2 linked regions of the Daphnia pulex genome follow. The protein of the gene in region 1 interacts with the protein of each later gene in a pairwise test. Links are inferred from orthologs where the notes say so. Each region holds a gene or a part of one and is shown in the gene's direction. Other genes may lie near its edges.

Region 1 (4,650 bases):
GCTCTTATCTGCTCTTGTTTCTTGTTACTAATACCAGCAAAGCCTTTAATCTAGCCTTAGATTTTAAGATATACAAAAGGCAAGAATGTTTGTTTCACGTTTTATTTGACAGCCACAAATAATCCTTGCTGGATTCCAATCACGCATTCTTTTCAACATTTAGGGACCGCCAGGAGTACCCGGTAATCCTGGCCCTACTGGATTACCCGGATTCCAAGGTATGGAGGGTTTGGAAGGACCCAAAGGTGATAAAGGTGAACCTGGACCACAAGGACCTCGAGGGCCGAAAGGCGACCGTGGTAAAATGGGTATGCCGGGTTTCCCTGGTATCAACGGGATTCCTGGTATCCAAGGTCCACCAGGGCCACCCGGCATGAACGGCATGGACGGTTGCAACGGAACTGATGTAAGTATTTTTTAATTCGTATTTTATGCATTTTCTGACATCTTTTTACGGTGGAATTTGAAAAGGGAGCTCCTGGAGGAATGGGAATGGTTGGCGATCCTGGACCTCGTGGCTTGCCCGGTCTGCCTGGTGGAAAGGGAGAGAAAGGTGAGCCGGCTCAAGCTCCATTTCCCGGTAGCAAAGGACAAAAAGGTGAACCTGGACTGGATGGTGTTCGCGGACCCGCTGGATTCCCTGGCCCGGCTGGTTTGACGGGTGGCAAAGGCAACAAAGGCGAACGTGGTTTACCGGTAAGATACACCTTCCCCCGCCAACATCCTAATCTCGAATGATTTTGTTAAATATTTTACTGTTTTTTTTATGTTATTTTTTTGTACAAAATCAGGGATTGGCGGGTAAAGAAGGATTGCAAGGAGACAAAGGTCTGCCAGGAATCTGTCGTGAGAGTGGCAGAGGCGACAAGGGTGAAGCTGGACCCAAAGGCGATTCTTGTTTAGGGGGTAATGAATTTGAAGGAAAGGGCAACGTAACATACATAGGACCGAAAGGAGAGAAGGGTATGCTCGGCATGAAGGTAAACCTAACAAGTCAATTCAAGCTCAATCTTTTTAGCAGCTTAGTTTAATTCAATTTTTTTATTCAATAGGGTGATAAGGGTGACTTTGGGCCCGAAGGTCAACCCGGCTTTATCGGTGATGCTGGCTCAAAAGGAGATCTAGGAATGAAGGGTGAAAAAGGATTACCTGGACCGGCTGGCCCTCGAGTAAGTTTTTTAAACCTTTTTTTTCATTCACATTCAGTATGCGATCACAAAAAGCACATTCTAACTGTGTTGTTTCGTCATACAGGGTAAAGACGGATTCCCCGGACCTCCAGGACCAACCGGACAGAAAGGTGACAGGGGTAACGACGGTTTGGATGGACTTCCCGGTCGACCCGGCCCTAAAGGTGACGGCGGATTATCTGGAATTCCTGGTCTGCCCGGTTTGAGAGGACCACCTGGAGCCCCAGGAGTAAGTCTTAGCCGTCACCATAATTAATTTGAAAATTCAATATCTTAATATTTTGTGAAGGGAGGCAAAGGTGTTCCTGGACCCCCAGGCCCTGCCGGACCGCGTGGATTCCCAGGCCCTCCTGGTGGTAACGGTATTGACGGTCTTCCCGGCGATCCTGGTCCCAGAGGAAGTCAAGGTCCTCCTGGTGGTGCTGGCAGTCCTGGATTACCTGGAGCTGAAGGACCCGCTGGTGACAAGGGTGACAAAGGAGACGGTGGACTAGCGGGTAATTTTGAATCTCTGCAGTATTGTAAACATAAAAACACCTTCATTGCATTCCTGAATTATTTTAAGGCTATCCGGGTGAGCCTGGACTTCAGGGTCCACCCGGATCTCCCGGTCTTCCTGGCCTGATGGGTCCTCCTGGTGAAAAAGGAATTTCGATCGTGGTAAGTTATTGAAAAATGCGACATTTACTGATTGAGTTTGAATTTGCGATTGTTGAATTTTCGAAACCATTTTTCCCATAATTTGTGATAGGGCCCGAAAGGACTGGACGGACTTCCAGGACGTGACGGTTTGCCTGGTTTGAAGGGTGAACGCGGTTATCAGGGAATTCGCGGACCTCCTGGAGATGCTATTGACGGTATTCCTGGTACACCAGGATACCCCGGAATCAAAGGAGACAAGGGTCGTGACGGCATTCCTGGAACTCCTGGCCTACCAGGGTTCAATGGGGAGAAGGGTGACGCTGGAGTCTGCTTTGCCTGTAGCCCAGGCATTAAAGGTGACAGAGGAGACCGGGGATTGAACGGTGTCAATGGTCCACCTGGTCAACGTGGTGCCCCTGGCGAACGTGGGTATCCCGGACAGCCGGGTGACGATGGTCTTCTCGGTCCACCTGGTTTACCTGGTCTCGAGGTTAGCATAATGAATTTTCGCATGTTTTGTTCGGTCTAACTATCTTTACGTTGCCATATCATGACTATTTTCATTGTTAATAATTACTTAATACCTTAGGGTCGGTCTGGTGAGCCTGGACAGCCAGGACCCAAAGGTCAAAAGGGAGAAGTCACTATTATTCCGGATATTCTGGCACGAGGACCACCAGGTGACAAAGGAGATCGAGGTGAATACGGCCGACCCGGTCCACTGGGTCCTCCTGGTTTACGTGGACCTCCTGGACAACCTGGTCTCTCTGGTTTCCCTGGAATGAAAGGCGACAAGGGCCAAATTGGTTTCCCTGGATTAGACGGTACTCCAGGCACACCAGGTCTTTCTGGTATACCCGGCGAAAAGGGCGCATCCATTAAGGGTGAGCCTGGACGTGATGGACAAAACGGTGCCAAAGGTGATTCTGGTTTTGAAGGCCAGAAAGGCGCAAAAGGAGAACAAGGTACGAAAATTGTATTTTTGTATACCAACGATTTTAATTGTGTTTTTTATAATTCACATAATTTCTCTTTACAGCCCAATGTCTCGACGATCTTGTACTTCTCAAAGGATTGCAAGGACAAAAAGGAGAAAAGGGCGATATGGGCTTGAAAGGTGAAGGGGGTATGAAGGGTGAACCAGGACTGGAGGGTCTCAGGGTCAGTTGGAAAAAGACATTTAATTTTTCACTTTTTTTATTGAGAATTGACCTTTTTTTAATGTGCAACAATTCAGGGATCGATGGGAGAAAAAGGTGACATCGGTCCTACAGGACTTCCAGGTCCGCGCGGACCACCAGGTCAACGTGGTGACAAAGGCGCTTTAGGCCCCATGGGATTCCCCGGTGAAGATGGACCTCCCGGCAATCCCGGAAATTCAGGCTTACCTGGCATGAAAGGTTCAGTTTTGTACTTCATTTTAGCATGTTATCTCAAATTCTAAATCAATCTTCCATGTGCAGGCGGAAAGGGTGAATCTGGAATCCCTGGAATAGGAAGACCCGGACAGCCAGGCTTGATCGGCGAACAAGGAGAGAAAGGATTACCTGGACTACCAGGCAAGCCCGGAGCTCAAGGACCTTCTGGCCCTGGCGGTTTCCCCGGAGAAAAGGGTGACCGTGGAGTGGCAGGATTGGATGGCCTTCCTGGACCCAGAGGAGACAAGGGAGATTCAGGACCACCTGGACCGGCTGGGCCACCTGGTTATACAAATAACAATATATTAGATGATGATTAGTATTATTATTGTTATTATTATCAATGCAGGATTTGCTGGACCACCTGGTCGGGATGGCGGCAAAGGTACAAATAGTTTACCAGATATAGTTATCTTTTAGTTGACTCATCTGCAAATAACCATGAATATATCTCGCAGGCGAACCAGGCCTTCAAGGAGAAGCCGGACGACCAGGTTTACCGGGATTCCCAGGATTCAAAGGAGATCTTGGAATTGAAGGTGGCGTTGGTGCACAAGGCTTACCTGGACTTCCTGGACAACCAGGTAAAATAATGTTACACCACGTTTATATCAAGATTGTAATTTGACCTGCTTATTAATGCAACAAATCTCAATCACATTTTGCTGTTTTTTTTACTGACGATTAGGTTTGAACGGCCTGCCGGGAACTCCTGGTGCCAAAGGTGATCGAGGACCATCCGGTCTTTCGGGTCTACCGGGTGACGCTGGTCTTCCTGGTCTTGACGGACGCAAGGGCGACATGGGTATGAAAGGTGACCGTGGTAATCCCGGTCTAGATGGACTTCCCGGTAACCCCGGAATTGGAGGCGAAAAGGGAGACGTTGGACCTGCAGGTCTTTCTGTAGGTTAATCATAAATTGATCATTTGAGAATGGTACACTAAAATTACTGTTGCATGCAATATAGGGATTCAAAGGTGAACCAGGATTCACCGCTGACAAAGGACAGAAAGGCGAACCTGGAATACCTGGCATTCGAGGCGGTCCCGGCAATAATGGTTTGGACGGACGACCCGGCGAGAGAGGTGACAAGGGTGATCGCGTTGTGGGACTTCCAGGCCTTCCCGGCATCAAGGGAGACGCCGGCTCACCTGGATTGCCTGGTTTGGACGGCTTGCGTGGACCCAAGGGCAATGACGGTTTTGGTGGGTTCGCCGGCAGCAAGGGGGACAAAGGAGATCGTGGTATTTCTGGTGCTCCTGGATCTCCTGGTCTTGATGGTTTACCTGGAGCGCAAGGAGACTCTTGCATTCCTGGTGGACCCGGCCCGCAAGGCATGAAGGGCGACAAAGGAATTTCCGGTCTGCCCGGTATCGACGGCCTCAAGGGTGAACAAGGT
Region 2 (5,086 bases), on another chromosome or scaffold:
GAAAAAATAAAAATTAAAGGGAATATTAAGTTCGTACATAAAATTCGGATCCGCCCAGTTGAATCTTTTTTTTCTTGTCTAAATTCTTCTTTTGGTAGAGATAACATTTTCGTTTCTTCGTTTTTGTTCGACCAGTACTAGAGAGGTAGATCCTCCCCTATTTTAACTCTATATGTAATTTATATCTATGTGTGTGTGTATTGAGAGGATGGGGGGGGGGGAAAAGAGCGGTCGAAAAAAACATTTCTGCCGGGTTTTTCTTTTTCTTTTCCGTCTTAATTACAGAGCAAAGTGCGCGGGTTATGGCGGAGGATGACTCCTTCTTCCAACCCACTCGCCAACCGAACTCGTATACAGAAGGGGGAGGAAAAGCCGCAATAGAGAGAGAATAAGCTGCACACCTGTGGACGAAAAAACAAAAATCCAATAGCCTCCAAATAGAAATTTTCTCGGTTGTTGTTGTTGTTGTTACGCTTCTAATACCATAGGGCTATGTAGAAGCGCGCGGGATTGGACGCACAAGGCTATGCAATCACGAACGCCGACGTGATTACAAAGATTGAGGCAAAAGAAAATTGAGAGGAGGACACACACAGAATAAAACGAATCTGAAAAAATCAAGGCAACCCACTTTTTCTTAACAGACGAAAACACACAACAACAACAAACACGAGTTGTGTGTAAGCCAATATTGATTACACGTGTACACACTGCGCCGCTGGTCGCAAATCATTCGATAAACAAGGGTGAGCTTGTACAGTTGAGCAATTTGATATGCCCTTTGATCATTGGTCGGTGTCTTATACATTTTTCAAAAGCTCATCATTTTGAATTTCCCGCTTCAATTTTAATTTCCGGGTTTCAAATTCACGCTGAAAACAAAAAATATACCTTTGAAATAAAAAATTGTGTTGGACATTGAAATTTGGCATGGCGCTGACAAGTATAGTGACCTTTTTCGAGTTGTCATTTTCTTTATTAGATTTCTCCTTGTATGGAAGGGGAGCCTTATATTTATTATATGGCCTCCTCTTCTTTCTTTTGCTCCTTCAGATTCATCCTGCGGAAACCTTGGACGACTTTTGTTCTCCTTCGGCTCCTTGTCATCTCTCATCTCTCTATTCCACCATGTGTATATATAACCGTTGGGGCTCCTGTCGCCACCCGACCCCAGTCACAAAAAAAGAGAGGGTCTGTTTTTACCTTTTAATTGCCCCATTCTCTTTCCCGGTATACGTTGTCGTTCGTCTCCAAAAATAAGAATCGATAGTCACTGGACGATACTTTTTTCCGATATGCCCAGGGAATGTTCGAGGGGTAAAAAACTAAAAAGAGAAGAAGCTTAAAAGCCACTCTAAATAGATGTATGTTTTTTAAAAAGAAAAAAAAAAAAAAAACCTTTTTTGGGGGTTTTTCTTGATGGGGTGACCATCTTGTTTTACCTTTTTCCCCCTCCTCCAAAGTGCTGCTGGCAATGTTGTCCCTGTGTGTGTGTTTAGATCGCCCTCTACCTTCGTGTACACAGAGAGAAAGAAAATGGTATTTAGTTTGGAAGAAAAGATATAGCCGATAGATATATATATATATATACAAACATTGGGATGCATTTCCAGGGGATTTTTATTTTTCGTCTGCTGGCTGCCCAGTGGAAGCGTCTCTTTCTACTCCTGGGCTCTCAGTCCTTCGTGTGATGTGACCAGTGCGGTTGGTCGGTGGCATTTTTCCCCCCTCAATTTTTCCTTGTTTGTTTCTTTTGATCGAATTTCTGTTTCGCCTCATCAAACGGAATTTCTTCTTCTCGGTGCCAAGAACCAAAACACCAACAAAGTTGTGCACCTGTGCATCCGCCATTTCCAGCAAAAAGGTGTTAGACTCATTAGATCCCCCCCACCCTACCTCACACAACACCTGTGTTTTCTTCATGTGCAACTTTTCCCGTCTGTTACTTTTTTGACACCTTTCCAGTCCCAGGTGGAATGGACCCCCACTTCAATTAAAACAAACAATAGACTGTGCAATAAGATTGATCAACATTTTGTAATTTCATTAAAAACTATCGAAAATCAATTTTTCTTTTTTGGGGGGAATGAAATTTCAGACATTTTGAGACGACAAAAGAGATGACCCTCCCTCCTGAAAAACCCAACCCAAAAACCTTCCAAGTTCCAAACGGAATAAAAACTTTTCCCCCTCCATTTTTCTGCCCTTCCCCCCCCCTCTCTTTTTCAATCCACCCCCTACTTCTTCTTCTTCTTCTTTTTGTCTTAAGTTTTCCACCTGGTTTTTCTTCTTCTTCTTCTTTTGTTTTTACCTTCCGAAACAAAAAAAGGAATATAAAAATAAAAAGTAGACGAAGGTTAAAAAAGAATATCGACCTTCTTCTTTTTATTTTTCCACCCAATCGTTTCCTCCTTTTTATTTTATTTTTAAATCGATATTTAATTCTGTTTCTTTTTTCTCCCTCCAGGGATTCCCGGTTGGACAATCCATTCCACGTGCGTCTCCCAGCCCGAGAGTGTGTGTGTTCGTGATTTATTTTGTTTTTAAAAAATCGTCGGTTATAAAATGCCCGCCAATTTCGTCGCCATTTTGAAACCCTGTTAGTTATTGGCTATTGCGTTCAGTGTTACGCCATCGTCAGTTGTGTGTCGTGAGTGAAGAAGTGAAAGTTGCGTCCAGTTGAATATATATATATAACACACGCCACGTTTGGACAACGGCGGCCGTTTTCCAATCCATCAGTTTGATCCATCGTGCTGTTGATAGTGCCAGGTGTGTTGTTGTGCCCATCATTGCGTTTTGGTGTCGTGTGTGTGTGTGTGTGCTATGAAGATCGGGCACTGCGTGATTGCCAGTCAGGGAGGATCGCCACCACCGCTGTGCTAAACTGCTAAAAGGCCAGGATGACACGGATCTCCCGCGGTTGTATCAGCAACGCACTCGCCCACTGCCAACTTCATCCTCCTCTCCCGCCCGTCCATCCATCGACTGGACACATCCAATCGTCATCGACTCAACAGTTCCAGGTTTTTAACAAAAATTTTTTCGTCTATTTTTTCAAAATTCCCGCAAAAATTTTGTAGAAAAATTTGAACTCGGTGGAATTTCACTGGATAATTTTTCAAACATATTTACTAAAAATCGATTTTTCGGGGAAGATTTATTTTTTTAAATTTTAACTTTTTTTTTACTGGAGGGTAAAACTTTTAAATTGGAAAAACAAAAAGAAAGATAAAAACCTTTTTCCACCCTCCAAATGAGGAAACCCAAGAAAGTTAAGGGGGAAGGGGATGCTGAGTGCTTTTCTTTTTTCCTGGAAGAAGAAGAAGAAGAAGATGGAAAAAAGGGACCAGAATGAGAAATACAAAACGGGGACAATAATAATAAAAGCACAAATACCCCCAGTCGATATGTGATGGAAACCGGTGGCCACGATTACGCTAATTAATCAAAATATTTTTAAAAATCCAAAATTTTTTAAAATCCCCGGCGTATCGAATAATAATTCCTGTCCCGTTTTCTTTTTTCGATCTGGGGAATTTGGAAATCTGAAAAAAGAACTTTTCAAGTTCTCGTGCCAACGTCGTTCATCTTGTGTTTAGATCTCGCGGGTGTTTTTAAAAAAAGAGAAAAAAAAAAACACGTAAGAGAGGAGAGAAAGGCAAACAAAAAACGAATGCGAGGGACCAGAAAAGGGACACAATCAAACTGCATCTAATAAATATTTGTCTCTACATATATATTCCAACGAATAATATGTGACCGGCGACATTGAGGCCAACAGCGAGAAAGAAAAAAAAAGAGATTTTTAACTTTTTTATTCGCTGTGGAACTTATCTCTTCTTATAAGATTGTAGCCGTTTTGTATGCGCACACACCTGGGTTACGACATATAAACAACTTCAATAACTTGCGAGCAGAGATAGGAGAGAATAAGGTTCTGGTGCCAACTTGTTGCTGGCCCCCAGAGTGGCCATTTTGTTGTCTGTAATGAACCGGCCGACAGGTGGAAAACAAATTCCTATCCAACTAGTCAGCGAAATTTTTATTCGGGAGGACGATCGTTCACACACAGGACGCATTCCATCTCCAGCTTTGCTGCTGGCCCCCTTTTTCTCTCTCTTATTCAAACAGTGACGCATCATCTTGCCCAGTTGCCGGGCAACTTGAGAGCTAGGTGTTTTCTCGTCCAACTGATTTGAAAGTTTTTTTTGAAATTTCCCCCCCCCACCGCTCCCATTTTGCGCAATTGTTTTATTTTCCATCCATGACCTATACAACGACGGATAGACGACGTCCAGCTTTGTGGATAATATGCAAAAATGTGGTGTTGGAATGGTGTTGATGGGCCAAGCCCCTCTTTTATCCATTCGCACCTTTTGACTGGAAATGCGCACCACCTGCTGTTAACTACTGGCCAGGGATTCCTGGAAAGAAGAAGAAGAAGAAAAACACCAACGCTTATCTAATTGGCGAGATCACAAATGGGAAGAATTCCAATGTTTATCCCCAAAAGAAAAAGAAGAAGAAGAAGAGAGAGCTCAACACCTGTGTACACACACAATCTCTCAACAGCTTGACATCATTTGCATATAATAGTCCTCCTCTACCGACGATGATTACATTAAATTATTATTACATCAAATAACTCCTCAAGAGATTTCAACATTTTTTTTTTCGGGTGGTTGCATCATCATCCGTATGTAGCGCCCGAGGGGGGACCTTCAACTCGCTTGTTGTTGTTGATAATTAACTGATTGCCGTTACGAAACGTCTTTTTGTTTGGTTTTAATCGCGAATATCAAATGAAAAATTAAATAAGGAATGTGGAAAAGAACAATGAAACATCAGGGAGGGGCCCGTCTCTTGTTTGTTTGTTGTTTGTACCTTTTTTCTTCTTTTCTTTTTGGAGGTTGACTCTGTTCATGAATGAATGAAGTCAAAAGATCAGCTGGGAGAATTAAAAAAGAAAAAAATATATATACCTGCCGGGTAATGGGAAAAGAAATATAAAAGAAAACGAACGAACGAACGAACGCGCAGTATAATAAGTTTTTGGGGAGGTGGGGAGTCTTATTACGTCGTA

What was found. The genes of interacting proteins can lie anywhere in the genome.
Region 2: the proteins of collagen alpha-2(IV) chain-like (region 1) and bone morphogenetic protein 2-like interact in binary tests that used the Drosophila melanogaster proteins (3 or more experiments, as listed by UniProt). The link is inferred for Daphnia pulex from reciprocal best matches to the Drosophila melanogaster genes Col4a1 and dpp.

The regions. Positions count from the first base shown.
Region 1 is NC_060017.1:3,258,929-3,263,578, forward strand, and holds part of collagen alpha-2(IV) chain-like, read left to right. Parts: intron 1-163; coding exon 164-406; intron 407-471; coding exon 472-696; intron 697-791; coding exon 792-980; intron 981-1,052; coding exon 1,053-1,169; intron 1,170-1,254; coding exon 1,255-1,419; intron 1,420-1,479; coding exon 1,480-1,687; intron 1,688-1,755; coding exon 1,756-1,850; intron 1,851-1,941; coding exon 1,942-2,322; intron 2,323-2,421; coding exon 2,422-2,797; intron 2,798-2,871; coding exon 2,872-2,993; intron 2,994-3,069; coding exon 3,070-3,232; intron 3,233-3,295; coding exon 3,296-3,535; intron 3,536-3,599; coding exon 3,600-3,635; intron 3,636-3,708; coding exon 3,709-3,834; intron 3,835-3,938; coding exon 3,939-4,153; intron 4,154-4,218; coding exon 4,219-4,650. UniProt on the Drosophila melanogaster protein: Collagen type IV is specific for basement membranes.
Region 2 is NC_060019.1:10,274,639-10,279,724, reverse strand, and holds the start of bone morphogenetic protein 2-like, read left to right. Parts: upstream 1-1,524; 5' UTR 1,525-1,864; intron 1,865-2,467; 5' UTR 2,468-3,026; intron 3,027-5,086. UniProt on the Drosophila melanogaster protein: Required during oogenesis for eggshell patterning and dorsal/ventral patterning of the embryo.